4 linked regions of the Rhinolophus ferrumequinum genome follow. The protein of the gene in region 3 interacts with the protein of the main gene of each other region in a pairwise test. Links are inferred from orthologs where the notes say so. Each region holds a gene or a part of one and is shown on either strand. Other genes may lie near its edges.

What was found.
Region 1: the proteins of BNIP3L (region 3) and LMNA interact in a two-hybrid assay, tested with the Homo sapiens proteins (2 studies listed by BioGRID and IntAct). The link is inferred for Rhinolophus ferrumequinum from reciprocal best matches to the Homo sapiens genes BNIP3L and LMNA.
Region 2: the proteins of BNIP3L (region 3) and LDLRAD1 interact in binary tests that used the Homo sapiens proteins (3 or more experiments, as listed by UniProt). The two-hybrid records come from large-scale screens. The link is inferred for Rhinolophus ferrumequinum from reciprocal best matches to the Homo sapiens genes BNIP3L and LDLRAD1.
Region 4: the proteins of BNIP3L (region 3) and SMCO4 interact in binary tests that used the Homo sapiens proteins (3 or more experiments, as listed by UniProt). The two-hybrid records come from large-scale screens. The link is inferred for Rhinolophus ferrumequinum from reciprocal best matches to the Homo sapiens genes BNIP3L and SMCO4.

Annotation. Positions count from the first base shown.
Region 1 is NC_046305.1:711,853-719,856, forward strand, and holds the start of LMNA (lamin), read left to right. Parts: upstream 1-5,002; 5' UTR 5,003-5,257; coding exon 5,258-5,613; intron 5,614-8,004.
Region 2 is NC_046292.1:38,714,014-38,721,951, forward strand, and holds the start of LDLRAD1 (low-density lipoprotein receptor class A domain-containing protein 1), read right to left. Parts: upstream 3,009-7,938; 5' UTR 113-3,008; intron 1-112. Other genes in the region: TMEM59 (transmembrane protein 59), read right to left, coding at 3,662-3,817.
Region 3 is NC_046301.1:40,967,186-40,974,954, reverse strand, and holds the start of BNIP3L (BCL2/adenovirus E1B 19 kDa protein-interacting protein 3-like), read left to right. Parts: upstream 1-4,761; 5' UTR 4,762-4,778; coding exon 4,779-4,905; intron 4,906-5,557; coding exon 5,558-5,741; intron 5,742-7,769.
Region 4 is NC_046294.1:64,733,586-64,741,298, reverse strand, and holds the start of SMCO4 (single-pass membrane and coiled-coil domain-containing protein 4), read left to right. Parts: upstream 1-4,707; 5' UTR 4,708-5,042; exon of another isoform or gene 5,043-5,069; intron 5,070-7,713.

The sequences.
Region 1 (8,004 bases), on a different chromosome or scaffold from region 3:
GTGCTTGCTCTGTGCACCTCAGAGAGACTTGAGAGGATTAAGTTAGTGATCTTGATTGTGAAAGGGTCGCCAGGGAGAGCCCTGCCAGGTGCCAGGTGTTATCCAGCCGTTTCTGGCCCGGCTGGAGCAGTGAGGGAAGACCGCCACTCTGGCTGATAGCCTCCGCCCATCCTAGTAACGTTCATGCGGGTCCCTTAAGATGGGCTAGCCCCTTCAGATCTGCCCACAGTGATGTCTCTTGTGACAGTGTGACATGTGGTCCGAGTGCTATTTGGGGGGTTCTGGGCAGGCCCGGCTGTGTGACCTTGGGCAGGTCTTTTCTCCTCTGCATTTGTGAAGAGAGGGGCTTCTTCCCCAGAGCCCTGGAGGCCTCCTGCATGGGAGGCAAAAGGTCACCAGGCAGGGGCCCCCAAACCTTACTACTAGAGAGACTTTGCCTCTGTCATTTAGTATGTTGGGTTTTACGGGTGAGATGAGGGGTTCTCTGGCTTTACAAATGGCTCTTGATCACCCGCTCCTTCTAAGAGCCTTCTCCACTGAGCTAAACTGAGCTAATCGCTCTGAACCTGCATCATTCCTCCTTGCTGAGTCTGGGTGGGAAGAAGGCAGTCTACTCTGCTGTGCAACCTCAGGCCAATCACTCAACCTCTCGGAGCTTTGGGTTCTTGGCATATAAAATGCAGATAATCCTACCTACCTCATAAGTAAGGCTGAGGTGAAAATGAAATAGGATGCCCTCCAGGCAGCCCCTAGCCCGGTGCCTGGTACATGGCAGCCACCTAAAGGACAGGCAAGTCCTTCCACTTTCAAGGTTATGACCATCACCTGTGCATGAGGCATGAGTGACTCAGCACTTTAACAGTTGTTTCGTCCTGACCCTGTGATCAAAGGATGAACAAGACAGGGACCCTCCCTCAAGAACTAAGTCACAGTAAAGGCATTCCCAAACCATGGCCTTGACTCTCCAAATCACCCCATTCCCTAGACCCGCCTCCAAAAGTCACCCCTTACCAGCCCTATGGGGGAGTAGAACTGGCTCCCCAATGGCCTAGGACCCGTTTGAGGTCTCCCTCCCACCCCACCTGTCCAGGATTACAGCCTGAGGGTACCATCTTGGCATTCAGTCAGGACAGCCTGTGTTAAAATTCCAGTTCTGCTCTCAACCATGGGACCTTAGACAAGTGGTTCTCAACTGGGGGAGATTTGGCCTCCCAGGGGACACTTGGCAATGTCTGAAGACATATTCAATTGTCCTGAGGGGCAGAGGTGCTACTGGCATCTAGTGAGTAGAGACCAGGGATGCTGCAAAACATCCCCCTGTGCACAGACACTCCCCACACCAAAGAATTATCTGGTATCAATAGAGCCAGAGTAGAGAGACCCTGCCTTAAAAGAACGCCTTTCCTCGTGGGTCATATGGGGCTAATTGCGGGTATGTACCTTGTAGAGCTATTGTGTAGGATCCACAAGGGAACGCGGATCCCTACTGTCCGATAACAGGGCTAACAGGTCCTCATACCTACTCCCTGCATGAGTCAGTCTGCCTCTGGAATCCCTCCTGGTCTCATCCTTCTGCTAAGCCCACTCCGTTTGCCTTGCCTCTTGCCAGGCCGGCGCCTCTGCGTCCTTGCTTGTTGGTCTCCATGCCCCTCTTCTCTCCTTCCTGACCCCAGCCTTCTCAAGCAGCCAGAATCTTACCCCTCAGACCCCATCGCATGCAGCCCCAGCTCCTGTCTCCTCTCCATGTCTCCCGGCCTGCCCTTCTTCGCACACTTCCCCGCCTCACCTCTGCCCAGCCTCTGCCCAGCCTGTGTCCAGACTTCCTCTGGGCCCCAGTCCACCCCAGCACCTCCCACGCCTCCCGCCAAAGTGGCATGAGATAGTGAAGCACATCTTGGATTTGGACCAGGCTGCCTGGTCCAAGTCTGAGCTTGGCCTATTACTTACTGTCTAGTCTTGGGAAAGTCAGCCTCACCTGTAAAACGGGGACGCTCCGACCCATGAGGTAGTTTTGTGGACCAACCTGAGAATGTAGGTGAAAGCATATAGGTCCCGCTTTATATTTTTATTGTCATAGTGCTTACCACCTTCTGACTAACTGTAATGTTGTGTATTTATTGCCTATATCCCTCCACTATAATGTCACCTCCAAGAGGACAGGGATTTTTGTCTGTTTTATTCACTATTGTACCCTAGTGTCTAGAGCAGTGGATGGCACATAGTAGGTGTTCAATAAATATTTGTTGGATGAGTGAATTCTCTATCTCTATATAAGGCACTTCTATAAAGTCCCTCACTCTACTTCTTCTAAGGACCTTCCCTTCAAATGCTTGTAACTTAATCAATGCAGTATCCCCATTTTATAGATAAGGAAACTGAGGCTGAAAGAAATGCAGTAACTTGCCCAGAGTCACTCTCCTGAAAATGGCAGGGCCAGATGCATTTGTTCATTTCAAAACACTGAGCGCCTCCTGTGCGCCAGGCATTGGGCCCGTTGTTGGGGACACAGATAACCAAGACTTGGCCCCTTCTGTCCCCACAGCACTTTTGGGAGGAAGGGTCCTCGAGGGAGGCCCAGGATGCTGTGGAAACATTGGAGGGCCCCCCTCCCAGGTCACTGGTCTTCAAGACAAGAGCTCCTTCACTGCCCAAACCATCCCTTGGACTCAACCACTGTGTTCTGATTATGCTCCAGCTCCCAGGCTTCTGGAACCCATTTGGAATTCATTTGCCAGGTCAGGGTCCTATACTGCCCTTTAGCCACTGTGGTTGGTCTTGCCTCTTCCTATGTTTTTCCCACCAGTGAGCAACTGCCTTGAGACCAAGCAGAGTAGCTCAGTCCCCATGTCTTGGTAGCCACTCTGGCCAGATGAGGAAACTGAAGCCCAGAGAAGTAGTAGCAGATGTATTATCTGTCACATAGTAGGGGAGCGGCAGGACTGGGACCTGGGGTCCACCCAGTCCCAACTTGCCACGCACCCCTCAGCAGGCTCCGTCTTCTCAACTGGCCTCTTCCACTTTCTCCGGCTTCTCTGGGACTGGGGACCTGTACTGGGGATCCAGAGTTAGGACTGAGTATTCAGGAGAAAGCCCAGCTTTGAAGCTCAGATTTAGGATTGAGGTCATTTTGGTGGTGGTGAGGCCCTGGAAACTGGGACTCTGGAAAGGGCCTAGAGTGAAATTTGGGGTGGGGTTCCTCCCACCTCTCTTCTGCCTCTTTTCCCCAAAGATGAGGAGGTCCGGGATAGGAAGAGTTAAGTGTGGTTTTGCTTCCCCAGCCAGGAGGGGAAGCCAGACCGGGCGGGGGACTGGGTGGGGCAGAGTGGGGGCTCTGAGTGTGGGGGGGGGCTGAGGCAGTGGGACTGCGGGAGCCCTGCCCCTCACATTTCACTGACTCTCCCACCCCCTCCTCTGCTCCCAGTTTGGGAAACAGAAGAGGGAGAAGCAGAACAAGACTGTTTCGTCTGGGGAGCCCAGGGTGGGTGCCACGCCCTAGGAGAGAGGTAGCCGAGTCCTGGGTCCCTCACATGTGTGCATCCTGGATGCTCTGCACTGCCCAGTACCCTCCTAGAGCTGGGAACCTGAGCATCCCCGCCCTTCCTGGTGCTCCTCCCTAAACACTCAGAGCTCTTGCTGTAATCCTACTGCAGCCCCTCTCGTCCATCTGAGGCCAGCTCCAGAACCCACAACAGAGGGCCTGACCAACTCTGCTTCCTTTGCGTATTACAGAAATCCTGGTGTCCTGGAGCTGTAGGAGCTAGCAACATAATTTAACTTTCCTGTTTCCTCCTCAGAATAAGTTGTGGGATGCCAGGGGCAGGGCACCCATGGCTTCCAGCGCCTCAGCTCTGCCACCTCTTAGAAAAGATAATGTGGTTGGTGGGGCCAGAGCCAGGATTAGGGGATGAGAGTGGAAGACTGACCAAAGGGGTCCTTGGTGAGGCCCAAGGATGGAGGCTGTGGAGCCTGGGGTGGGAGCCTGGGGACCTGGGTGATCCTGTTTTGTGCGAGGGCCTGGCCCCTCCCCAGAGCCAGCTGTAAAGTAGACCTGGCTGCGCAGGAATGTAGATAAGTGCAGTGCTGGCCTTTGCATCCAGCAAGGTTGTGGGAGCTTTGTTGTCTCTGTTCCCCACTACCCCCTTTCTGGATGAAACCAGGATGGAGACTCACCACTGGCCATCCAGCCCCCTGCTCTGCTCCCACTTTCAGGCCCCTTCAGGAACCACAAAAATCTAGGACCTGATGTCCTGGCAACGTGATGAGTGCACACACAGCTCTGGTATCTGTTTTAAATTATCCATTAAAATAAGTACAGTCCTGGAAAAAGAAAAAAAATCAGTACAGCCCTGGATTTGGCAGGGTGGGGTAAGCGGTAGGAGGGATGAAGGGGGAGGGACCTACACAGCCTCTTTTCCCAATTGCTTGGGTCCAAAGGAAGGTGGTCAGGGGATGGACCTCAGAATCTGGAACTTTGCTGTGTGCCCCCAGGGATTCCTTCCCCACCCCACCCTGGCATTCTGAGATGGCAACTTTGAATGGGCTGCCCACGTGTGTGTGGGGGGGGTAGGGGTGACTCACTATTACTATGGGGAGGAAAGGGGGAGCTGGTGGTGGAAGAGTGAGTCACCCTGATGGGCACCAGCCTCAGCCCTCCCCCCTCCCCTTTCCTGGATCTGTCTGCCTAGCGCCCTCCCTTGCTTTACATCCACTTTCCCTCTCCCTCCACTCCCACCTTTCGCCCACCCAATCTCACCCCTTGGCTCTGCCCTTTACCCGCAAGGCCTGAGGCAGTGGGGGCAGGCTTGCAGCCGGGAGCGCTGAGCAAGCGGGAACCAAAACGCGAGCTTCAGCGAAGCCCGGGGCAGACTGAGGTGCGAGGGAGAGGGTGGGGCTCCACTCCGCCCGAGCTGGGCTGTCCTCTGCTCTGCTCGCCACTCCCGCCCCCACCCCACGGGTATGCGGCGGCTCCTTTAAGAGCAGTGGCCCCTCCTCCCATTCCCAGGACCTATTAGAGCCTTTGCCCAGTCGCCGGTGACTCAGTGTTCGCGGGAGCGCCGCAGCCACTGCAGCCAACCCGGATCCCACGTCCGACAGCGCCGGGCCCAGATCCCCACGCCTGCCAGGAGCAAGCTGAGAGCCTGCCGGCCGGCGCGCTCCGACCCCGGCCCCGGCCCCGACCCGCCTCTGTCCTTCGTCCCGAGCCCCGCGCCCTTCCCGGGATCCCTGCCCCGCGGGCAGCACTGCCACCCTGCCGGCCATGGAGACTCCGTCCCAGCGGCGCGCCACCCGCAGCGGGGCGCAGGCCAGCTCCACCCCGCTGTCGCCTACCCGCATCACCCGGCTGCAGGAGAAGGAGGACCTGCAGGAGCTCAACGACCGCTTGGCGATCTACATCGACCGTGTGCGCTCGCTGGAGACGGAGAATGCAGGTCTGCGCCTTCGCATCACCGAGTCGGAGGAGGTGGTCAGCCGCGAGGTGTCCGGCATCAAGGCCGCGTACGAGGCCGAGCTCGGTGATGCCCGCAAGACCCTCGACTCGGTGGCCAAGGAGCGCGCGCGCCTGCAGCTGGAGCTGAGCAAAGTGCGCGAGGAGTTTAAGGAGCTTAAAGCGCGGTGAGTGGGCCCAGGTGGCGGCACGCCCAGGTGGCGGCGGAGGGGCAGACTGGTCACCCCTGCCCGGCCCCAGGCGGCTGATAACTTTGCCATATAGTCTCCTCCCTCCCCGGAACTGCCCCTAGCGGGTGACTGGCAGTGCCAAGGGAAATCGGCAGGACAGGACAGAGAAGGGAGGGGTCTCTGGGAGATGGGTATCCAAGGGTGAGGGCATCAGGGCCAAGGAGGGATTGGTGGTAGGCCCGTTCAGTCAGGAAGGTTTGCCAGCCATTTGGAGCGGCGGGAGGGGCTTGAGCAAAGCAGAACTGACCCCACCAAGTCTAAGAAGTCTGGGCACTGCAGGACACATTGGAGTGGGTGAAAGGGTCCAGTTAGAACTTTCTTGGCAGGCTTGGCACAGTGCCCATTTTGCCCAGCCTGGGTCTGAATACATGAGGTCCACTAAGACAAACTCCCAAGTTGGCATATGTCCACTGGTGCTGGAGAGAGGTCACCAAGGCAGGGTGACAACCCACCCCCCACCGCAGGGGCATGGAGGTGGCCCCCTTGGCTCGACCCTATCCGGGTTCTTTCTAAGAGCTGGGAAACTCTCCTTCACTCACTGCATCTCTGGGACCTTCTCTGGACTCTGACAGTCCCCCCAAACAGCTCCAGGAGAGTGGCTCCCAGCTCAGGCTCCCCCGCAGCTCCCACAGCCCTTGGCCTGCTTGGCCCAGGAATGCAAGGGAGGGAGGCAGAGGCTCCCACTCAGGAAGTTGTGTTGTGCCCAGGTCTGGCTGCCCGGGCGGGCAGCTTCCCCGCCCTCTGCCTGGTGTCTTGGAGGGTTTAGGACTCTGTCCCTCTCGGTCTCCCTCCCTTGGGGTGAGCCACTTTCATTTTCCCAGCCAGGCCCAGCCGCTTTTGCTCTGTCCCATCCTCTCAGTCTGACTTTTTTTGGTCTTGGCCTTAATAAACCGGGAATACAGTGACATTTTTGAAATCCAGCCGTTGGAAGCTTTAGGCCACTCCTCCCTCACCCATCCCGGCCTGGCCCCACCCTACCCCACCCTACTTGACTCCACCCTCTTCTAAAAAGAACTTTGGAGCCTGGAAGTTTAGCCCCTCTTCAGCCCCCCAAGAATTTGGTTTCCTCCTGTCTACTGCCCTTTTCACCATGAAGACCTAAACCAAAGAGAACTAATGCTGCTTGCAGATCTGTGGTTGTGGGGGCCCTGTGGTTTGACTTCCCCTTATCTTCTCCAAACTTTTGCTCTTAGCTCTCTGGACATGCCTTCACCAGTCCCCAGTCCAGGGGTCGTAGGTGTGGCAGATTCATCTCTTGTAAAGAGTAGTGAGTTGCAAGTCGTGTGGGGAGATGGGCTTTTATTCCTGTTGAAAGGGGTCGCTCCTGTCTTTTTCACTAGTGATGTGGACGATTTAGTTAGCAGGACAGACAGGAGGTAAGCTTGGGGAGTCCCAGAGAATGTCAGTGTCGGAAACCTGTCCACTCAACCACCTTCGCAGATCCCAGCGAAGGGCTTTCCTGGCTGATGGGGGAACGGCACGAGTGGAGGCTTGGTCCCATGCTAAGCCAGCCACAGCAGTCTGTCTCCCCTGCCTTCTGGTGCAGCTGTCCAGGCCTGGGACACCAGGCGGGGGTGTGCACACGTGGGGTAGGGGCGGGGGTGGCGTGTGTACATGTTATATTTAGCCACCTGCCTCTCTTCTCCCCCACTGATCCTGGCTGGGGAGGCTGGGCTTCCGGCAAAGGGGGGTGGATTTGCACACCTGGATCCTAGGCGGATGGGCGGCGGCAGGGTGGAGACAAAGAAGGCTCAGACTGGGGTGACAGTCACCTTCTATGTTCCCAGTGGGAGGAGCTAGGATTTGTTGCTCCCTTTCGCATCTGCTGTGCCCAGGGTGAGGTGGAGAAGAGTAGAATGAAGAATTTGGAAGAGGAGGAGAGGCCCGTCTTGTCCCAATTTCTCCCACTAAAACCTGGAGAGAAGGTGTTTAATTAGAGCTCCAAGTTCAGGTCAAGGTTTGTGTTGGGATACAGAGCTGTCTGTAAGCTCCTGTGGTCCGGCCTGGGTACCTCGACCACACCCAGGGGTTTGGGATGCCCTCTTATTGAGCTGGATTGTGGGCTCCAAGCAGAAACACTCCCCCCATAAACACACATACGCACATTCTTTCTATCCTGGAGCCTAAGTGTAGGGAGAACAGGGAAGGCCTGCCTGGGGTCCAGGCTTGGAGCAGGGCCCCACCCCAGGCAAGACAGCTGGGTGGGTGACTCAGCCTGCCCCCCTCCCTCCCGCCCTGGTGGCTTTACAAGAGACAGTGGGAGAAAGCAGATGTCTCAGAGGGAGGGATGGGGGCCTGAATGTCTGCATCTCCGCCCCTCCCCCTGCT
Region 2 (7,938 bases), on a different chromosome or scaffold from region 3:
TAATTACTTGAAGGAGTTGAAAAATCCACACTTAACTGTATGCTCTAGCTTCCCACAGAAGACTGCCGTTTTCCACTATCTCAGTTTTTTTTATCTGTATCACGGTACATACCTCCATCTGCAGACTCCAGTCCAGAATAAGTGGTCAAGGAAAGACGAATAAGGTACCTCATCCTGATGATGCTCAAATACAAACATGAAATGTTTAGCCACTGGAAACCTGGTGGGAGGGGCTCAAGAGCACACCAAGTTGGAGAAATTGGGTTGGCAAACTTAGAGCTTTAGGATGGTAAGTTGACATAGCATTATAGTTTAAAAATTTTGCCCAACATGAAGTCTGGTAAGAAGCTTGGGCTCCATGGAAAAGCCTTCCCAGTTTTTTTGGCAACAGTCAGACTGTGACCAGGTCTCAGAGGCTAGTCCTAGGCTTACCATCCAAACAAAATATAGGGTACAGAGAGCCTTATAGAGAAGAGTTCAAAAATATACATGAGGTAAAATGAAAGAAAATAGGAATATTGGGCATTTTAAAAAAGAGAAGTCTGGGAAGGAAACGAAATTTCCCATTTCAGTGTGGCTGGGTAGGTACGTAACTTAATAGATCCCAGCGGTTACCATAGAGCTAAGATATTGATGGCCTCTGGGCCTGCCCCTCTGGTCTATCTCCACATCCTTGTTGAGAGTTGTTCTAAAACTCTGCAACTCTCTTGCTTAAGGCCTTTCTATGGCTTTCCATCATGCTCAGGATCGAATCCAAGTTTAGTCAAGTCTTTTATTATCTGGTCCCATCTATTGCTATGCTTTGTATGCTGTATCTTAGCCTGCTAAATAATTTGTAGTTTCCCACCCTCTTGTCTCTAGGTCTTTGAGCATACTGCCCACGCCTGGAATACTACTCCCTGTATTTTGTTTGGATTTTCCTTTTCCTCCTAGAAGTTAGGGCCCTCCTATGTACTTCCGTAGTACTCTGCTTATCTGGTCACAATAATTACATTAATAATAATGTTTCCTTCTTTTAGACTTTGAGCAACTCGAGTCAGGCCCTGGGTCTTGTTTGTTGTTGCAGTCCTATCATCTAGCACAGGGCCTGGCACTCAGGCTCTCAAGTGGTTGCTGAATGGTTGAACTATAGATCTATAATAGGATATCTGGGCAAAATCACTGCCATGGGGTGGCAGTGATGGGGACTTAGTTGAGAACGAACCTCTAGATCAATGATTCCCAACGTGTGGCCCTAAGATACTTAAGAGACCACAAAAATTATAATAGAAATGGCACATTTATTTATCTATGATAAAGCCAGATGAACAACAGGGATAAAGTTGTTTGCTTTTGGCTAGAATATCAGCTGAGTAAAAACACTAGGCTTCACGTGCTGATCAGCTGGGCTGATGATACATCATAGGAATTTCTGAGACAAGAGTGATGGACCAGACGATTTGGCAATTTTTTATTTACCAAAAAACAATCATAAATAAAAGGTATCCATGAAGTTTTGTGAAAGACAGAATCTTGGGCCTAGATCATTATGGTGACTATTTTCATAATTGCCCGAATCAGTATGTCTCTTAGACTACGGACCTGAACCAAGGACCTTAGGAATCTGTGAGGTTTGAACCAGAGACTCAAGGGGCTTCAGAACTTCCCTAGGACCAAGACAAAGCATCTTCTCGAGAAGATGCTTTTTGTGTAGGAGGAAAGAAGGTGGTACCTGTCTCATGGAAACAAATGAAGCTGGACCCACCAAAGAAGGGCTAAACTGTTCCTTTAGGAGAAGGGGCCTAGAGGCTCGGTTTGGTTGCCTTCGTTAGAATTTTCAAGTCAAACACTTTTTATGGGTGTGTGTGTGTGTGTGTGTGTGTGTGTGTACACATGCATATATTTTTGGGGGGATATAATTTTTTTAAAAGTAGAACTTTTTTTTTTAATGTCAGTCTCTTTTAATCATGGTGAAATAAAATGAAGGCAGGACACGAGTATCTGAGTGCCTACTAAATACAAGGAATGATGAGGTATTTCCACATACAGGAATTGTCTCATAAACAAGAGTGGTAAGTTTACCTGCACTTGAATCAATATTGTCAGAGGGAACTTTATTTGGAAAGCAAACGGAAACAAAACCAAGGGAAGGTGAGAGAATGCAGGACAATCATCCAGTTGCTCCTTCTTATCTAGATATTCTTTTTGTTTTTATAAGGGAGGCCCTTCCTAACAGTGGGCTGACTCCTATAAATCTGCACGTTTTATTTCCCCCTTGGTTTGCTTCAGTTAAACCTGTGCCTGATATTAAGGAACTTAAGTGTGTACCATGGGTAGGGAATAAGACAATTGGGCTTTATTTTAAAGGTGAACTCCAATCCGTTCTTCATGTTTTGTAACTGTTTTCTCACAAAAAATAAGACATTGACTGCTTGATGTCAGCCTAGTAATTCCTCCTCTCTTCTGCATCTGGATGTGTTCACATACTTTCTAACCCTTTAGCTTCCGAATCTAGACAAACTATTTTAAAACGTGAAACCTATGTTTTGTGAACAAGGTCTTGTTAATTGTATTTTTTTTGGACTCAGAGAAAGCTTATGACTAGTCTGTAAGGTAAGTGTGTGACTCACTCTTTAGTCAGAAAGTGCTACTGCAGTTGTCAGCAATGCCCGTTGGTGAGGATATTGGTTTGCCAAGTTATTTAACATTTTATGGTATAAAGACACCGAATCATGTTAAGACTCTGGTATACTGTGTTACCTGATATCACTCTTGGCTTTAAATCTGTATTATTATAAAGGAATGATAATAATAGCTTTTGCCAAGTGAAATCTATACTTAATTCTGCATCACAAGAATCTAATTCTTACTGTCAAAATGAAGTTTTCTCTGAAAATATCTTAAACTTATACTTGATATACTTTCTAACAGAAAAGGTTCTTTGGAAAGACTTATCCAACAAAAGTCTACGGGCTGTGCAAATAACATAAAATGCACTTCTGAGAGGATCATTTTTGCTTCAATTTGTTCCCTGATCATATTATATAGCAATAGATAGAAATAGAATTTCTAGAGTTTGGCTAGGGGTAAGAAGAAAGATTGGAATTTTTGTCTGGGTTGGCTAGGGGTGAGAGGAAAGACTGGAAAATCAGGAGTCTATTAAACTCAATTTCCACGTAATTATTCAAATAAAATTTTAATAACTTCAGTTCAATCCAACTGAAAATGTAGTGTCATCAAAGGGCATTTCCTGCTAAATTTCAAGTTACAGGCTGTGGGCTATTTCTGAGCAGAAGCATCATAGTCTACTGAGCATTCAGCTTATTACCTAAGGTGATTGATGGCATCGTGGCGAGAGGTGGGGAAGAACAATGATCAGCTCATAGAATTTGGCTAAGAAAGAAAATAAACAAAAACAATGCAAATAATAATTAAAGTAGCTACAGATATTAAAATAAAAATACAACTCCAAATATTCACCTCTTAAATTACTAGGAAAAAGTTACAGGGAAAGTTACAGCAAATACAGTCTTTACAGATTTGGGTAACTTTATTTGCCTTTGATAGTGATTGTTAAGCCCTATATCCAATGAAACCATTTTTAAAAGCTCTATGAGGAATGGAAATTTAGATGTCTATTACATTTTTCTTAAAAAAAACAAACAAACAAACAAAAAAACCCTTAAATTTCTGAATGGGCAAGATTCACTTTTGTAGGTAGAGGCCCTGCTTCTTCGTGATCTTCAGCTTTAGATCTAACAACCACAAGAGAAGAAGCTGGGTATCTGTTTAGCTTTTGTTCGTTCACAAATTCCAAGTCACCATAGATACTCAGCTTCTGCAAAATAAAATCAATACACATTAGCAATTTGGATAATTAATCTCTCTAAGATTTCAAGTAATTTTTTTTTTTTTGGTAAAAATAAAAAAAAGATTGCTATAGACATTCTCAAGAATGAAGAATGCCTTTACTCAAAGTGTTACAAATATGAGATTCAGCTGCCAAGGATGGCCAAAAGAGTTTTTTCTACATGTCCCAACTTAAAATATTTAGAAGTATAACAACTGAGTATCAAGAAAAAATTGCTCAGATTTAAATGAAGTTAGTGTGGCCACACCAAGAGCTCTCATTCTAGATGTTTGATATCTTAAGTGATTAATTCCTTTAACTCTTAACTCTCCAAACAAGTTGTCAAATGATTTGATTTAGTTTCTCTCCTCCTAAATGTTTTAACTTAATACATTTGGAAAATACGTGCTATTTTAAAAGGCTATGAGTAGAACAAAGAATATACATGAAACATTTTAACACTGATAGAAAGATCTTCATAAACATATAAAAGCTCCTCAAATTATTACCATTATATCCAAGAAGATAGTAAAACAAATCAAAGAAAGCATAAAACAGTCATTGCAAATGTCATAAAATTCACTGGAGTACAATGGTCACGTCTAATATCTTTGGAAAGTATTTTATTTAGATGTAGGTCTGTCTCCTAAAAGTAAAAAAGTGAAGTGAAAAGTTTTTACTAAGAAATGGGATAGATTTTGTTAACTCACTTCCTTGGCAACAAATCTCAGAATCATGAGTTAAAAATTGAAGTTCTGACGTTACTGATAGGGCAAGTGACTAGATTATACAGCAAGAACCACACAGAAGTACTTAATGTTGGAAAGGTGCATTTAAAAGACGCTGAATAAAGAGTTTAAGTACTTATCAACATTGATACATACTACAACATGGATGAACCTTGAAAATATTATGCTAAGTGAAAGAAGCCAGTCACAAGGGACCACATAGTGGTTGTCTATGGCTAGGAGTGGTGATGGTGGTGGTGGTGGTGGTGGTGGTGATGCTTGGGAGGAAATGAGGAGTGACACTAACAAGTGTGAGTTTTCTTTTGGGGGTGATAAAAATGTTCTAAAAGTGACTGGTGTGATGGTTGCTTACTTAAACATGTTTCAGATATGGTCTGCTGCCTACGCTTTCAAGGCAATTGCTACCCTATAATAAGAAGATGGCCCAGTACCTTATACTTTTGCAGTAAGAGAATAACTTCCAGACAAAATTCAGCAGTTGATGGATTGGACATGGATCTGATATATGTGGCCTCCTTAAAACCCAGAATTAACATGTGATAATTTGCTCTGAGTCATTGTGAAAGAAAAACTTTCAAAACTCTACCTAACAACATTTAAAGACCTTGACACAGCAACCAGGAACTGTTTGAATGATTTCAAACATCAACATGGAAGAAAGTGAAGAGATGGGAGGTGAGGTGGGAGATAACGTAAAGAACTAAATTCCTCATCCTTCAATAGGAAGACATTAGATAATATTTAAAGTTGATAAAACAAAAAAAAATAGAAGATAAAATTTAAAAATGGTAACTATTTGGAAGTTTTATAAAAATGACTGATTTATCTGAAGAGAAAAATTTAACTTATGTTACATGTATTACTTCTAAAAGTTAGAAAAATAAATTCAATTAGTAAATACATATTTGGGCTTTAGGCCTGGACTCTGTCAATAACCATTACACAATCTTGGATAAGTTACTTAAATCTTTTCTAAAACTCAGTTTCTTAACAGAATTTGGATTAAAAAGCTGTAGCACTCACATTGTTTTCTAATTGACTTTTTTTATAAGACTTAAAGCTTCTACAAGGATCTTGTAGAAAAACAAGGTTCTTAGTCTTGGTTTTTTGACAAAGAAAATACTGGTTATTATACTTTAAGACATATTTCACCCTACTTCCTGAGTCACAGAAACCTTTAACATTTAACTTTCTTCTGTCTTGATCTTATTCTTCATTGTATCTTTAATCCCTTGAACAGGGCCTGGCACATAATAAGTTATCCATAAATGTGTGTGATTTACTAACACGAATGTTATTAGGAGTCTTTAAAGCTCTTCTTAACTGACCACACAAAATCAGATGATCATGGTCTTGACAAATAGAGAAAAGGAAGCACACATATAAAGATATAATAATAAGGCAGCATCTATATCAACATCTGTTGCTATAGCGAATTTCTGAGGCTGCCTGATCTCTAGGAAGGAATACCCAATACTGCCAAACCCCATTCTGGTATGCCAAGATTGGCCTGCCTGTCAAGGACCACTATGAATGACAGACAACTCTTCATTATCTTAAATAGATAGCTCAACAAGAAAAACTGCCATCCCATTAATTTTAAAAAATGACATCATAAATGTGACAGAACAGAGGAAAAAAGTAAAGAGGATCAGAATCTTTATACATCAAGTCAATCAAATAACACCGCTTTAAGATCAACCAAGAAAATGAAATTCTTTGCTAACTCTTAATGGCTATTACAAATAAATGATATATAATAAATACCTAACTACTACATGCAAAGCAGGCTAAAGATAAATTATTTCAGAGCTTTCCTAAATAAGAAAAATAAAGCTGCTTATACATTCCTAAGACCACATTCCTGACCTTTATCACCACCATTTTAAGCTTTGTTTCAGTGACTGAAAAGGAAACTTTTTATATTTCATGTTTAAGCTCCAAGAACCAAGGCTGTACTAAAGACACACATTCTCTCAACAGGCTTATGATTTCCTACAAACATACAGAAACATATATAAATAATAAACACAATATAAATAACATTGGTCATAGATGGATTATTCTCGTAGGACTTAAAATGGAGTCTTACTATGGAGAGGGGTCAGCAATAACTTATGCTCCAATAAAATCAATGAAAAGACTTTCTGAAAGTAAAGTTTAAAATAAATGGCTTTTGGCCAAAAAAAAAATTGAATAACATTTCTAACGCTAAGTTCTCAATGATTTTTATAGTAAACAGAGGGGGAAAATATTTACACTGCAGTATTTTTAAACAAAAACAAAAACAAAAATTGTTTATATTGAAAGAAATCCACTAAAATGGCAACACAACAATATTTCTGGATGAAAGGATGATTTTTTTTTCCTGCTTCTTTATATGTACTTTACAAATTTCCACACTAAGTATACAGTATTTTTATAATAAAAATATAGTTGAAACAACCTTAATACCTAGCGGAAGTGTGGTTTCACATACAAAGTAAAGCCTAAAAGCAGTGAATCTAAATAGCTATTTCCACACACTTTTCTAGAAAATATGTCTCCTCAGAAAAGTCTAGACTCTTTGAGGGTGCAGCCATACTTTAATTGTTAAAGCTAGGAAGAAGAGTTCAAAGAGGGGCAAGAAAATAACATTCAGAAGGCAGATAGTTGGAGAGAATGTAACAGCCATCACCAGGTCTCCACGTGGGTCTAAATGCCTTAGGCTTTATGGTCACTAGGATCTAGGAGGCGGAAGTGGGAAAAGTGGGAGAGAATTTCTCACAGAATTAAAGCTATACAATCAAAATTTATTACTACAGAGACAACATCGAAAAGGAAAAGAAAGATCAAGAGTCACCTGGAAAGGAGGGAAAGATCCCCAGATCTAGAAAATGTGACCAAACTACAATGGTAGTTTGGCATTAACATATCTAAACAGTATCAGAAGAGGAGGTCACTTCCAAAAGTCAAATAAGGTTAAGAGAGGAAAAACTATGAAATGTTCATCTAAGAACTACTTGGATAAGAGAGTTGGAGCATCCTGGAACAAAAACATGAACCATGTGGTCTCAGTGGTATTTATCTTCCTAGTGTCCGAGGGCACACAGGACATCAGCTCCTGATATGAATCTCATAATCAACTCTCCTATTCTGATTCCAGGATAACTAAAGAAACTTAAAAGTACTGGCTCTGGAGTCACACCATCTGGGTTCAAGTTCTGGTTCTACACTTACTGGTATGTGACACTGGGACAATTATATAGTCTCTCTTGCAGTTATTGTATCTGAAAAATGGGGATAATAATAGCAGCCATCTCACAGAATTAGTGTAAGAATGAAATGAGCTAATTCATATCAGTGCCTAGTAGAAAGTGC
Region 3 (7,769 bases):
AGAGCTGAGGTTTTTATTTTCACCCAATCTAGTGCTCCTTTCAGGACATTTCTTTTCGGTGGACCAGAATCCCCTGAGCTCGTGTTTCTTTTTTTTTTTTTCCCCCTTCTTTCGCACCCCCCCACTCGGGTTCAAGCCATTGTTTCTCAGTCTGGTTGTGTTGTTTCTCAGTCTGGTTGTATAGGACACAGCTCCCTGGCCCATGCTGGTCTGATGAGCCTTGTGCTGCCCCCAGCTGAGTCAGTAGGTTGCCGGTCATCGGTGCGCCGCTCGCGGCAGCTGGGCCACTCACAGCAGCCACTCACGGCAGCTCTCGCTGGCTGCCGGCCACTCATGCTGGGCTGGCTGCCGGCCGCTCCTGGCAGCACGCAGCAGCCCAGCTCCAGGGAGAGCTGTTGTTCACAATCTTAGCTGTAGAGGGCGCAGCTCACTGGCTCATGTGGGAATCGAACCGGTGACCTCGGCTTTAGGAGCACGGTGCTCCAACCACCTGAGCCACCAGGTTGGCCCAATTGTGTGGTTCTTATTCTCTCAGAATGTTACTCCACCTAGTGTAATGTACAGAGGTCACCTGCCTATCTCTTTTTAGTACACTGTCTCTTTAATTGTACTCATTGTGTTCCTGTGATACTTATAAGTTAGCTGTTTGGTTAATATGTGTACATGATTTCACAGAAAGCAAAGGAATTGTAATTTCCTTTCACCATTTAACAAAAAAAAAAACAATGGGGTTGAGCTATACGTGATTGTTTAATCTCCATGTCTGACAGACCCGTGAGGTATGTGATGTTCTTGGCCAAGCAGTTGCTGCTACGTTTATGTTAGCTCTTCGGAAGTGGAAGAACACTCAGCATGTGTGTGATATCAAAATGTTGCTTTGGGAAATCTGCTAGATAGAAAGTATTTTATTTGGGGTAGGGTGACCTTTTAAGTTACTGAAAAGCTTTTAGATAGTGCCATATTTAATTACTCCCCTCTTGCTTTTTACTGTGTTTGTTTTTTTTGTTTTTTGTTTTTTTTAGCTCATTATACAACACTGAACTGAACAAAACAAGAAGCCTTATTGATTCCTTCAAGTGATTTTTGGGCAGAACAGCTTATTCAGGCATCTAACATGTGCTACCCAAATTGCTGATAAGTTGAAGTTCTTTTTCTTTTTGCAAAACTGTGAAAAACAGGAGATGAACTCATTGTAGAGATTATCTCTGCCTTGGGATTTTATCTTTAGTTCAAGGGTCAAAGCAGAGTGTTAATAACAAATTATTGAAATATTTGGAATAATGAAATCTTTCTCTGACTTTTTTTGTTTACCATCGTAGGGGAACTATTCACTTTGATTACAAATTAGTAAACACACAGATCTGAATTATTTCCAAAGCTAAAAGGTTATTTTCTAGTTTTACTTTTAAGAAAACTATTGTTAGTTTTACTCTTAAGAAAACTATTAAGTTACTTAAGAATATTTGTGTAGGACATATAGGTCGTAAAAATCAGAAGGTAATAGGAAAATCAAGGTAGCAGTATAACTCTTGTTGTTTAACATGGGAAGCACAGCCTTTTTTCTCCTTTTTAAACATCTACCATGACGTTCTTGCTCCCCCAGTATGACAGGAAGGCTTTTAAGGCTATGACACATGAAACTTCACTGTTTATAATACTATTTTTAACACATAAGTAACTGGTGTCTTGAGTACCTGCTTGTGCAAAAAGACCAATTCTTTTTTTTTTTTTTTTTTAAATAGGAATGTCAGTGACTATTTCTGTTCTGGATTCCAGCATTAGGTATTTGAAATAAATAAAGGCTTTGGGGAAAGAAGATAAGACATAATGAAATGTGTCACCCCGGTTAGGGTTAGAGTGACACGTGGGGCCTTGTCATCTTGTGGAAAATGAGAACTAGTACTCTTTTTCTTTCCCTCTCCCTCCCCACCCCTAACTTTCCCACACCCCTTCTTGAAAGAGGATTGAACTGGTGACCATAAAACTATGAAGAGTGTGTACAACAATAGTCATGAATATAATGACAATCACTGGACCAACCTTCGCCATGTACTACTATGTTGGAGAAAGTGGAAGGATGGGTCTCTGAATCTCTTAGTGAGTCTCAGAAACTTGTATTAGAAAATATCTCATGTGCTGTGTATATGTACCATCCGGCATGACAGAACAGTTTTCAGTTTGTAAGGAGGCTTTGAATATAATAGAGCCTGCATGTTTTTTTTTTTTTTTTTTAATTTTAAAGCTTGATTGGTAGAAAGAGAATTCACTCTGAGATTGTTTTCTACTTTGTATTGCTTGGACAGCACAATCATATCTGACCATGTTTCCTTTCCAAGTAAGAAGGGACTTAGGATTGGTAGAATTAGAACATTAAAAAATTCTGAGGCTGTGAATAGGGAGTAAACTAGGTGATGGAAAAAAGGCACATGTAGTTCATCTATTGAGAAAGATAAGTTTGCTTTCCCCCCCATTTTTCTCAAAAGATAAAGCTGATATGGAGCCTCTTAATGAATATCTGTGTACATAATTTTCTCTGCAGTACTGTTTTTCCATAGATGATATTTCTGGAAGAGAATTATTAAGTTAAAGGAAATCTACCTTTTTAAGGCTCCTAATACATATTGCCAAGTTACCCTCCACTGAAGCCTTGATTTTAATAACATTAGAAACAGTAATTTCGTTAATGGTTAACCATTGCCATTTGGAGAATGGTTAAAGTATGGTATAGCTTTATGATGAGAAGCAAAGCAATGTTTAAAAGAATGAAGTAAGGCAATATATATTGATGTTGAAAGACATCTGCAAGTTGTTAGGTAAGGAATGCTACTTACCGAAAGATATATACAGTATGATTCCATGTTTTTGTAAAAGCTCTAGAAGTTTACATGTAAAAGTTTTAAAAGTGGTTTCCTTTGGTATAGGAATGTGAGATTGGGAGAAGTATTAATTTCTACTTTATGTACTGATGTTGGCATTTTCAAGGAACACATTTTTGTAAATAATTTTTTTTAAAGGAGTATAATTATAACATTAGCTAACACATAGCACTTACCATGTACTAGGCACCTTTTGTATTTTTTTTATGTGCTTTATTCATTTCATCCTCCTAACTATGAAGTAGATACAGTTATTATTCTTACTTTACAGATTAGAAAACTGAGAGATCTAGGGTGTAACAGGTATAAGTGATAGGATGGGAGTCTGGCTTCCGTCTGTGCACTTAACCACTATACTAGTAATATATGCACAAACAATATTGTCTGCCTAAAGTAGAAATGCCTTCAGTTAGGCTGAGGGTTAGGGCCATTGCAGAAATCACTTCACTAAGCTTTTCTAGGTATGTCTCCTCAAGTTCCTAGGTTATGATTCCTTACATATTTTTTGCAGGAAGTAGAAATGGTTTAGAAATCCTTCAAAAAAGTAAGGTCTAGAAAACCTGCTATTGTTACACCCCTTTTTCTCTTTGGTCAGCTACAAGTGAACATTAATTTTATTTTGAGGAAGATTTGCTTCCACAGAGACCTCTCCAGAACTCCTGATAGCTTATGCAGTCCTGCTTCTGCCAGAGCAGAAGCAGGCTTTTTATTTGTTTTTGTTTATTTTACACATTGGGCTTTTGTACAAGAAGAACAGGTCCCATTGGTTTAAAGTAAGTTTGAAAATTCTAGAAACAGTAGAAAAAAAGTTTATCATATACCGCTGTCTTTCTGTGTCTCTCTCTTTCTAGTTAAAATATTTTGCAGAGCCCTAAATTTAGGACTGCGTTTGGCATATGTTTTATACACGCCAGAGGCACTGCAAATATTTAGTAAAATTACGTTCAGTGTTAGGTCTGTCTTAGCTTTGTTAGTTAAGTTTGTTGATCCATGTTGAGTTCTATCTAGTCTGTGTCCATTTTTGTGTGTATATAGAACGAGAACACGGAGATGTCATACAACTGTTTTTTGACAGTATCGTCCCAAAGAATCGGTGCTGATTAAGGGATTGTGACAACCCCGGGACGGCCTTAGAGGGAAAGGAAGGAAAGGGTAACTTCATTTTTATTTAGCAAACACTGTTTTAAGTGCTTTACAAATAAAAACTCTTTTAAGTAGTATATAACAGCATCTACTGTTTACTAGGTCCTTTACCTATGTTCCTATATTTAATCTTTATAGCAGCCCTGGAAGGTAGGTACTATGTAATCTGTTTTACAAATGAGGAAACTCAGGGTCAGAAAGTCAGATAGATAGTAAGGGGTGGAGTCAGATTTCCAACCAGGTTTGCCTTTGAGCTTTTCCTTCTGATGATGCTGAGTTCACTTCTGGATCTGGAATAGTCATCACCTCATTTAGAGTGCCTTTGGGTTTCGAACCTGTTTTCATGATTATTCTGATTTACTGGTAGAAGACTGTTCAGCCACAAAACTCTCTCTAATGCTTCTGCTGGGAGTTTAGAGGAATGGCCCCACCAACCCGCTTGACTGTACTTTCTAAAACAAATTTTATTGTAAAGAATGGAAATTATGAGAAAAAACATACACTACTGTCTCTTTTTGTTGTAAGGTTGGCTTATTGGCTGCCAACATGTCCCTTCTCACCCTCTATCCACCAACACATTAGCTACCTGAATGTGTTCAGCAAACTCATTGAACCAATAAATATTTTCAAGACCTAGCCAAATTACCAGAGCCACGCCCCTTTCCTGTGGCTCCACTCCCTTTGTTCCCCTGAGAAAACTTAAGTGTTGCCTGTAGCAGATCCTCAGCCATTTCTGCCCCGCAAAACTAATGAGGCTTAATGAAAACCCTAGAAAGTAGGAACTCGTGGGAGAGAAGAGAGAAAAGACAAGTTCACAAGGTATGTTTAATGCGTAGAGAAAGAGTGAGGTATAAAGAAAAGGAAGAAACTAATTCGTGGGATAGAGGTAAAACTTTTTTCAGAATTTTTAGCAACCTGATTTAGTTGAGAGCCGGCTGCGTTAATTTTATGCTCCAGATTTGTACACAAATTGAAATTTTTTTGATTGTATTTAAGTTCCCTCTCTAGGAGCTTCTCAGTTGTTTGTGCTAAGTATGACTTAGTTGTTAATTTATTTAGATGACTTTTATGAAGTTTTTAAGTCGTATGTTTATTTCATTTGTGGAGAGGATACAACTAAATGGCTGGGGTAGACTATGAAAAAATCATATATAACTAGAATATTGAAGGTAAGTAGCCTGTCTAAAAATAAAATAGCGATTTATTTTTTAAAAAGTGACCTAAAAGCTTTTACTGAAGTGTTTATTGTATATAAACTAAGCTTTAACCAGAGAGAAAATTGACTGAAAGATACATTTTCTAAGATACTAGTTTTAGAGTCCCAGCTTCTAAATTGGTTGCTTATGTGAGCTACATCAGGGACAGAACTATATAGATTTTTAGATGTTTATTGCTCTTTGCTTATTTTCTTCAGAATTCTTTCTGCATTTGGTTTAGGTGAGTCAGACTTATCTGAATTCCCCATATTCACATCTGTGTGCACATGACAGACTGCAGTTCTGCTGTGGTTAACGTAAGTTATCTGACTTGTCCAACAGGTTCCTGGGTGGAGCTACCCATGAACAGCACCAATGGCAATGATAATGGCAACGGGAAAAACGGGGGGCTGGAACACGTCCCTTCCTCATCCTCCATCCACAATGGAGACATGGAGAAGATTCTCTTGGATGCACAACATGAATCAGGACAGAGTAGTTCAAGAGGCAGCTCTCACTGTGACAGGTAAGTAAGAGCCGCATTTTGGTAGAATTCAGGAAACAGATGGGTTACAAGGGGAACTCCCGTTAGAAAAAATAAATGCTTACATCTTCATTTAATCAAAATAGGATTCTTGATTTAGTGCAGCATGTGTATTTAAATCAGACAGCTGACTGACAAGTACTTGAGTGCCCTTTGTTTTCCCCCAGATTAAATCAATGTCCTTACCAGATTGTATCATTTTTAGATGTTTATCAGTTTAAAAGTCAATGGCATAAATGTTTTTTCTTTTTTTTTTTTAAAGATTTTATTGGGGAAGGGGTACAGGACTTTATTGGGGAACAGTGTGTATTTCCAGGCCTTTTTTCCAAGTCAAGTTGTTGTCCTTTCCGTCTTAGTTGTGGAGGGCTCAGCTCAGCTCCAGGTCCAGTTGCCGTTTTCTAGTTGCAGGGGGCACAGCCCACCATCCCTTGTGGGAGTTGAACCGGCAACCTTGTGGTTGAGAGGACACGCTCCAACCAACTGAGCCATCCAGGAGCTCAGCGGCAGCTCAGTTCAAGGTGCCCTGTTCAATCTTAGTTGCAGGGGGCAGAGCCCACCATCCCTTGCGGGACTCGAGGAATTGAACTGGCAACCTTGTGGTTGAGAGCCCACTGGCCCATGTGGGAATCGAACCGGCAGCCTTCGGAGTTAGGAGCATGGAGCTCTAACCGCCTGAGCCACCAGGCCAGCCCCATAAATGTTTATGTACAGAATTAATCTGACTTTCTTCCATTTTCCTTTGTGCCTCTGTTTCACAGATCACATTCTCCTAGACTACGGTTATCTCTGTGTATCTCTGTCCTCCCTTCTAGATGGTGAGGCTTTAAAAGGCAGGGGTCATGTTTCATCTCCTTTGTACTCTCACAGTAACGGGGCTGGCATGTAGTAGACACTCAGTAAATGTTTGTGTCATAGGAACTGCAAATTGATTCAAGTTACAGCAGTATTTACACGGAAACACCAACCAAGGTCTGTAAAGATAGTTCATTTTGAAGGTCATTCTGTTTTCTTAGAGCAAGTTTTATTTCAGACCTCATTTTGGTATATTTGAGTTAAGAAAACTAATTCCACTGATTAAGGGCTGCTTATGGTGAAAGAATAAGAATATAGAGATAGGTATGAGTGTAATGAAACCGAGCTATGTTTATTTTTCAGTATAAGTGAAGTGTCTCTTTTTTTTAGAGGGTCCAGCTATTAAATGACAGTGGTATATTGAACAATGCTTAGACCAGTGGCAGCCATACTGGTAGTATGCTGGGGTGCTGGATGATCTTCTGGTTAATTAAGAGTTAACTGATATCTGCCCTGTAGAAAATGCAAATGCACATGAAAAAGATGAAGGAAACATTTAAAAATGTAGACAGTGATTAGGGGGTAGAATTACAGGTTTTTCTTCTAAGTATTTTTGTGTTTTGTAAAAATTGTGTATATGGCACATATTATTGCTTATCAGAAAAAATATAAAAGGAGAAACAGAGTTAAATTGTGTTTGAAGTGCCTGTATGTCTTATGACCCAGGCACGTTCCCAAGGCAGCAGAGGACTGGTTTGCCTGCTCTGTGCACCCCCACCACCCCATCTCCTCTCTGACTTTTCCCTGTGCTTCTTAAAAGCCTGGGGTAGCTCTAACATAAGCAGAAGCAGAACAGATGGCCCTTTTCTGAGCAGCTTGCCATTGATTCCAGTAGCTACAGCGTTAGTCTGTCTTTCAGAATGAAGTTTATATTAATACACAGGCAGACCTCAGAGATATTGTGGGTTTGGTTCCAGATCACCACAGAAAAACAAAAACTAAAGTGCGTTGTAATCTTTTTGCTGGTGGAGGGTCTCTTGCCTTCAATTTGTAAAAAATGCAACATCTGTGACGTGCAATAATAAAGTGAAGCGGACAAAATAAAAGTGCACAAAATAAAATACCAATGCATCAGTGGGCCTCTGAAGTTTTCTGTTCATTGAGGGCCTGTTGAGAAAGCTTTTCCTGTACATCCAAGTTTACATGACCATTAATCAT
Region 4 (7,713 bases), on a different chromosome or scaffold from region 3:
TTGGCACCGTGTGACTTCTGGCTCTTCCCCAAAGTGAAAATGATTCAGGACATCGACGCAGCCACAACAGCGCAACTAAAGACACTCACGAAAGAGGACTTCCAGAACTGCTTCAGAAAGTGGTAAGAATGATGGGATAAGTGTGTTCGAAGCAAGGAGGAGTATTTTGAGGGGGATTAATGGCAATGTGTCTTTTACTGTAATACATTTTTAAAAATTCAAACATTCACCATATTGTTTGATCACAACTCATACATACACACACATACTTGGTCATCGACCAGACCTCAAGCCCAGGGCTTCATTTCCAACAGGACATGTCTAGAGCCATGGCCGGCTCTGTCCTGACCCACAACCAGAATGCAGTCCTGAGCGAAGCTTCTTTAGCTCCATGTTCTGGTCAGTGGAGCTAAAGTGACTGTCAAGAAGGCATGAGGCAGAAAAGGAAACAGAGTCTGGGTGGATGTGACTGAAACAATTGTAAGAACAGTGCGTTGAGGGCTGGTCTACCGAGTCTGAGGCACCCTAGTCGGGACTGCCCAGGTCTATGAGACTGTAAAGTGGCGATTCCTGAGGCCTTCAGATTGCATGGACCAGTAACATCACAAAACCATTTAGGGGAGAAACTGAGGTAGCAAATTTTTTATTTCACCAAAAAAAAAACACAAAGAACAAAACACCAAAAAACTGATCAATTACAATATAATTGATCACAAATATAATATTCACTGGTACAAAAATGGAATCCATTTGCTTTACATTGCTCTAATAAGCTCTCGTTTTGGACCTGACTGGCAGAAACCCCTCCATGGACCTGTGGCCCCAGGCAATGAGCCTGAGACTTCTGCTGTAGAGGCTACACAGCCGGGCACAGGCTGGCCGGGGAGCGGGCTTATGGACGTGCGCCATGATCTTTTCTTCTGACAGCTGCAGCCAGGCTACAAACCCAGTTTCAGTTTTGAGGGTTCCTACTTCAGCAAATGCTCTGAGGCACTCAGCCTTCCCTATTCTAGATTCCTCCGTCCCCTGGCCCCACCCCACCTTGCTTCACTGACTAAATAATTTATCCGTCAAGACCAGCCCAGCGCAGCATAGCACAACATGGCACATCTCTGAAGTACAAGGTAGTGTTTCCTCATTTATCCTGAGTGTGAGAACTTGTTCTTCTCACAGCATCACACAGGGACCCAGCATGGCATGTCTTCCACAAACCTATACTCGTCATATTCTTTGTCTTTTCTCGCCTGTTTCTACAAAGCTAATGTCAAATGGATGAGTCAGAAGAATGACTAAGCCCATATCATTCATTCATTCAATAGATATTTATTGAGAGCCGATTATGTCTCAGTCTCTATACCAGGTGACAAGGATACAGTGGTGGACAAACAAACAATGTCCTGTTTCTCATGCAGGGAGAACAGGAAAGAAACAAACAAATAAATATGTAATTACAAAATGTGATAAGAACAGGAAAAAACTAGGAGTGTCATGACAGAGCATAACAGAAGGAACCTTTAAGAAAAGCTTTCCTGAGAAAGCTAAGGCCTGAGGGGTAATGGAGTGACATTCATTGGTTTTGTCACCTTAGATCCACTTTCTCTTCTGGTTACAATGCCCCGATGATTATCTTTGGGGTCCTACATTCAAGGAGTCCCATTCTTCTCTGGCTCGGGTTGGGCAGGTGACTAAGCTAGGTCACGCTGACTTTCTTTCAGGGCTTGGAATCTTGAGTAGAGTTACACAAAAAAAGAAAATACCGCAGTGGGCAATGTGCTGAGGGAGGGTTAGAGTAGAACCACCCTGCACCAGACCTCGCGGGGCCAGACTGAGTTTGGATTTTGTCTTAAATGTAAAGGGAGGTTGTAAAGATACTTTGAGCTTGGCAGACTATTTTTAGTAGCAACAAATGTCACAAAGGAAAAGCAGAACAATCCAATGAACAGCATGAAGTGCTTTGAATTGTCCACCCCAGTTCTACTCTGAGCAGGCTCCAGGAACGTAGGAATTTGTCAGGATCTTCTAATCTCTCTTAGCTCAGTTTCCTCATCTATAAAATGAGGTAGTGGATTAGCTGACCTCTAACTTCCCTTCTTTATGTAATGTTTCATATCTATGGTGAAACCTTGTCAAACTGGACAAGGTGTCCATCAGAAGTAGTTGATGAAAAAATGGGAGAAATAAACACAACCAATCTGTACAACAATTGTTGTGTTTCAAGGATTTATAAAATTTAAAGAGGCTTAAAAGCCAATATCACTAGCTCATTATCATGTTGGCTGCCAAATAGTACTTGGTTCAGCAACCAATTCAAGGAAGAACTTTGAAAGAAGGCATTCCATAATGTGTGATACTCCCCTAATCTGAGACACAGTAACTTCAAGTGGATGCTTCTTGACAGAAAACACTAATGAGAGTATTGACTCTTGAGTGAATTTCACCGAGTCCTTGCAACTTCCAAAATGCCTACGTGTGATGTGCGTATCAGTCATCTATTTCTGTATAACAAACCACCCAACACTTAATGGCTTAAAACAACCACCATTTTATTTTTCACACTTCTTGGGTTGGCTGGGCTCACTCATGTGGCTGCATTCAGCTGGTGGGTTGGCTGGGGACTGCCGCAGCTGGGATGGCAAGCCTCTCTCTGACTGGGTCTTTCATCTTCAAGGAAGTTAGATCACATTGCTTTACTTTATATACTGCGTTCCAAAACAGGAAGGAGTACTGTACAAGTGCTCATCAAACATCCCTACTTTTGCTATGTTCTGATGTCCCAGTGGCCAATGCATGTGACATGGCCAAGAACAGGGTCAATATGGGAGGGGGCTACCCTAAGGGCGTGGGTACCGACATATGATTCATTTGAGGCCATTAGTGTAACAATATGTGAACTTTCCCTCTTAGACATGGATTGCAAGATATGCAACTTTAACTTATATAAATGATAGTGCGTTCACAAAGGTACAATATACACATTATTATTAATATAAGGAAGCATTTGAAGTCACCTTATTAAGGGACTGAATCCGACATTAAATGGCTCTGCTTGCCTCATAAAATTATTCATTAATTTTTAGTAGTGGCCTTGGGAAGTTACGTACATAATATTTAGAGGAAAATGGCATTTATAATGATAATGAATTAAAGTAATTCACACTGCAATTCTGTCCCAATTTGGAACTTGAGGCTTGCTAATTTCATACTTGCACCCATCCATGCACCCATGCACCCCCAATTCCTCTGCTCTAACAGGTACTTGCCTATCTCATCTGCTAGACCTCAAACTTTTGAGGATAGGAATCTGACCTCATCCAGGTTTATTTCCCTTACTTTCACAGCACCTACAACACTCAGGAGATGTGCCCCAAGTGCTTGTTAAATCAACTAATCAATAGCTTCCTTGTATTAAACACATACACAGTCCAGGGACTTCACTCACAGACTGGATCACCAATTCCCTCTCAATACCACTGATAAATGTTATTCTCCACAGTTTACAATCGAGGGGGCTGAGGTACAGAAAGCCCAAGGTGGATGGACTGAAATTCCAGCCCAGTCCCACCTGATGCCACTTCACTGCTGCTTTATGTGTGGAGCAGGAAGGAGACTGTCAGAACTGAAAAGATGGCCTAGAGAGAGGGGCAAGAAGAAACCAGTAAGAGGCCTGCAGGGGCCCCAAACCTGTTCACTGCCTTGCAATAAAATAAACACTTGTTAATTGAGAGATTGGCCACTGAAACCCTGGTGGAAAACCTGCAGGAGAGCCACTTCTACAGCTCTTACTAAAATCAAGACCAGTTCATTCTTGGGGGTGGGGAGAGGAGGGACTGAAGAGGTCTTGCTCCCAGGGCTGGCCCTGTTGGATAGGTGACAATACCACATATACAAAGAGGTATTATCGTTGTCCTCAGGTTTTGAAAATGTAGGTGGCCATTATTTTACATTTTGTCTATAGTTTTTATTATCTCCTAGGTCAGTAATGTACCAACAATAGCTACCATTTATATACAACAGTATATGCATGGGTGTGTGTGTGTGTGTGTGTGTGTGTGTGTGTGTGTGTGAAGTGCTTTACATACAATACATGATCTCAATTAAGGCTCCCAACAAAAGTAGATTTTACTATTCTTAATTTACAGATGAGGTAACCGTGCCCAGGGAGATCAGTTTTCCCAGCCTTTAAGTGGTAGATGTAAAACCGAAGTCTATTTGACTAAAATCCTGTAATATTTAGCTGTGGGTGTCTTGCGGCTTCGGGGCTAGTGTGAGGTGGGGAATTGTGAATCCCATTTATTCATGCAAAGCTGCGGGCGCGCGCGCGCGCGGTGTGTGTGTGTGTGTGTGTGTGTGTGTGTGTGTGTGTGTGTGATTTACAATAACACAAATCCACGTCAGGATATCTTGAGGCTTAAAAGCCTATTTGGGTGGGGAGAGGCAAAAATCTCTCCTCATTCATTCACTCTTTCGCTCCCTCAAGAAGTATTTATTGCGCATCTCAGGATACCAGGCGGGCGCTACTCTAGCCGCCCTAGGAGAGAGAATGGTGAGCACGAGAGACACGTTTGCTCCCCTAACCACCACCCCCTCCTGATTTTACTATTTTGTGGGCGAAGCAGAGAAACAGGAAATGTCTCAACCCGGGAGGATGACTTCTGCCCGGGCTGCACTGGAGCGGGAGGAAGCGCATCGAGTGGCTGGGTGGTCAGGGCAGACTCCCCGGAGGCGGCGGCGGGCCCGGGGCCGGGCTCGCAGGACGAGTCTCCTGGCTCCGCGGCCCACGCTCGGAAGCGAATTGGGACCGAGCCAGGGGCGGGGCTGGTAGGAGCAGGGGCGGCGGAGGCCGGGGCGGGGGCGGCCGCCGAGTTAGGGTTAGGGCGAGAGGATTCGACTTCCTGGCGGCAGAGGGCGCCTGGCGCTGCGGTCCGGCGTGGCGGAGCCGCCAGCACGGGCGCCGAGAGGACAGGCAAGGCGAGGCGAGGAGCGCGAGCGGCGGCGGCCACTGCCACGTATTCCCGGCAGTGGCGGCGGCGGCGCGGCAGGAGGTGAGCGGCGCCGGCGCCCGCGGGCAGGTGGGCAGGGAGCGGCGGAGCGGGCGGGCGGGCTGGGAGACCCGGCACCCGGCGGGAGTGCGGGCGCTGGGACAGCGCGGTTCCCGCCACGCCGGCTCCGCCTCCGCCTCCGCGCCGGGCTGACCGCTGAGGCCCGGGCGCCGAGCAGGTCCCAAGCGCAACTCGTGCCGGCTCGGCGGGCAGGGGCAGAGGGAATGCGAGCTCGCCCGCCCGCCCGTCGCGGCTCGGGACACGGAATCCCCGCGGCTGCGGGGCCCGGGCCGCGGCCGGGAAAAGTTGGGGCGGACCGGGAGCCTGCGTGTGGAGGGCGGGAAGTGCGGGTGCCGGGCGGATTCGGAGGTCGGAAGGACGCGGGGAGAGGGGGTCCCCGGCCGGAGGCAGGGCGGCCGGGAGGGCCCTATTTGGGGAGGTGGCAGGCACGGGTCCTCTGTGGGCGGGGAGGAAGGGGTGCACGCAGGATCTAGGGCGGGAGTGGACAAGTGTCCAGCCGGGGGCTCTGCGGGTGAGAAGGGAGGGAGGAAAGGAGGGCCCACGAGGGACGAGCCTGGGGGCCGGAGGCCAGCCGGCTGCTGCATAGAGCACTGGGGCTTTGCCTCCTCCCGCCTCTTTCGCTGTAGACCCTTGGAGGGGCCAGGCTCAGAGTTGGGGACACCTCTGGTGTCTGAAGACCCAATTGGGAGTTCCTGTAAGAGGTGGGGGGAGAGATTCAATCGTTGCTTCCTCTGCTGCTTGGGTCGAATACCGCTCCTCCCCGTCTGCCACATTCACCTCCCAGACTGCATGCTTTTGTCCTGCGGAAGTTGAGGAGGGACCCCATCAATGAATGAGATATTTAAGGGTACCAAGGTGAGTCGGAATGGGCTGATATCATAACCGTCGCCTGGAAATGTCTGAAACACACAACTCGGACCACCTACACCCACGCCATTCCCTCTCCAGTACTGCCAGTGTCCGCTTCCCTGGGTTGGGCTAGCGGGTCCCTGAAGCCCAGTCGCACCTTTGCTTACAGGATCTTGGTTATCCTGAAGGGGGTATAAAACATGGCCTTTTATTCTCTGGCTGAGGTTGGTTATTTCCGAAACAAGTGGTTCTGGAGATGCTGACTGCATTATTCGAACAACCTGTAGGGTGCCACTTGACTGGAGATGACTCATGTTGGCTTCCCCCCCGCCACCCCAATAAACTTTGTATTCAAGACACAAGTTTGTCACGTCATGTGCAACAGTGTTAAGCTGGAGACCTACACTGGGGGCCTCTTTGAGCCATAGTTCTAGTCTTAAATATATTAGCAAGGAGTATGACCTTGGATGAATCACTTGCCCTCTCTGGACTCAGTTTCCTTATCTGTGAAATGGGATATAAAGATAGAGCTAGACAGTCTGATAGAGGCAGGAGTAGGTTTCTGAGAGAGACAGATCTATTTCCTTGTGAGATTGGATCAGCCACACTAAATCAACCTCAGCCTATTCTTATGAAGAAATTAGGATGGACTTAAAGGAAAACATATGAGAAGCAAGAATGATTGCAAAAAGCAACAGAAAACCAAAAACTAATAATTGGTACTAGACTTAGAGTATGAATACTAGTTTCATGCAGGCAATTAGTGTACATGGCTGTCCAGCTATTTTTATTATAAAGTTAACTGTGCTTAAAAAAATTACATTTATCTCACCTGTGGACCTGAATGTTTTTTCTTTAAACCAGCAAGCATGGAGTGGATGCTCAGTTGGATGGGTCTTGGTGTAGCCTTGCTTGGAGAATGTCCCCAGAATCTCTCATTGCCAAAGTATTGTCGATTTCCTTCTGTCTGACTGACGTTGCAATCCTTCTACCACCACACTTCTGTCATCTTTTTCATTCTGGCTTAAGTGGTGAACTGATTCCTGTTGCATAAGACATTTCTGAACTTCCCAGGTTTCTTTTTCCAGTGAGTGTAATTAATAGACAAACAATGCATGAGTCGCAGCACATTAAAAATAGCTCAAGGTAATAACTGTCCACTCACGCCTTTTCCCCTGACCTCCTGGGCAGCCTCTTACTTGAACTTCCAGGTCACCTGATGGCCGTCCCGTTTTGGATACTAAGGATTATCACAGAGTCGAAATGACACGGTCAGGTCAAATCGCACATTAATGATCAAGCCATGATGTTGGAAGGAGAGGACGATTTTTTTGTATTTAACTGAATGCTCCTGTCCTGTTTTCTTCCATTAGTAGCTTTCAAAATCCATATTGGGTTCAACCACATAATTTTCAGTAATCTTTTTTGGTCAGTTTTTTGAAAGCTGCTGTTAGTGGCTATCTCTGAGTTTGAGGTAGTGGTAAAATTATATCCTCTCTGACAAGTAAATGCTTGACTAATTAGGTTGAATCTTTAATATATCTGTAGTGTGTGTGTGTGTGTGTGTGTGTGTGTGAGTGTGTTTAAATTTTACTTTAAGGGATACTCAATAAAAGTCATGATGCTAATAATAGTTAATCATCTGAACCCCTTCCATTTATCAGGCGTTGTGAGGTGAGAAAACAGAGTTCAGAAAGGGCACAACTCTGTAAGTGTTACAGCTGGCTTGCACAAGTCACTGATGATCTCTGAAACCAGACAGCCTTCTATAATAGTAAAAAGGAATTCGTAGCTCTTCGACAGG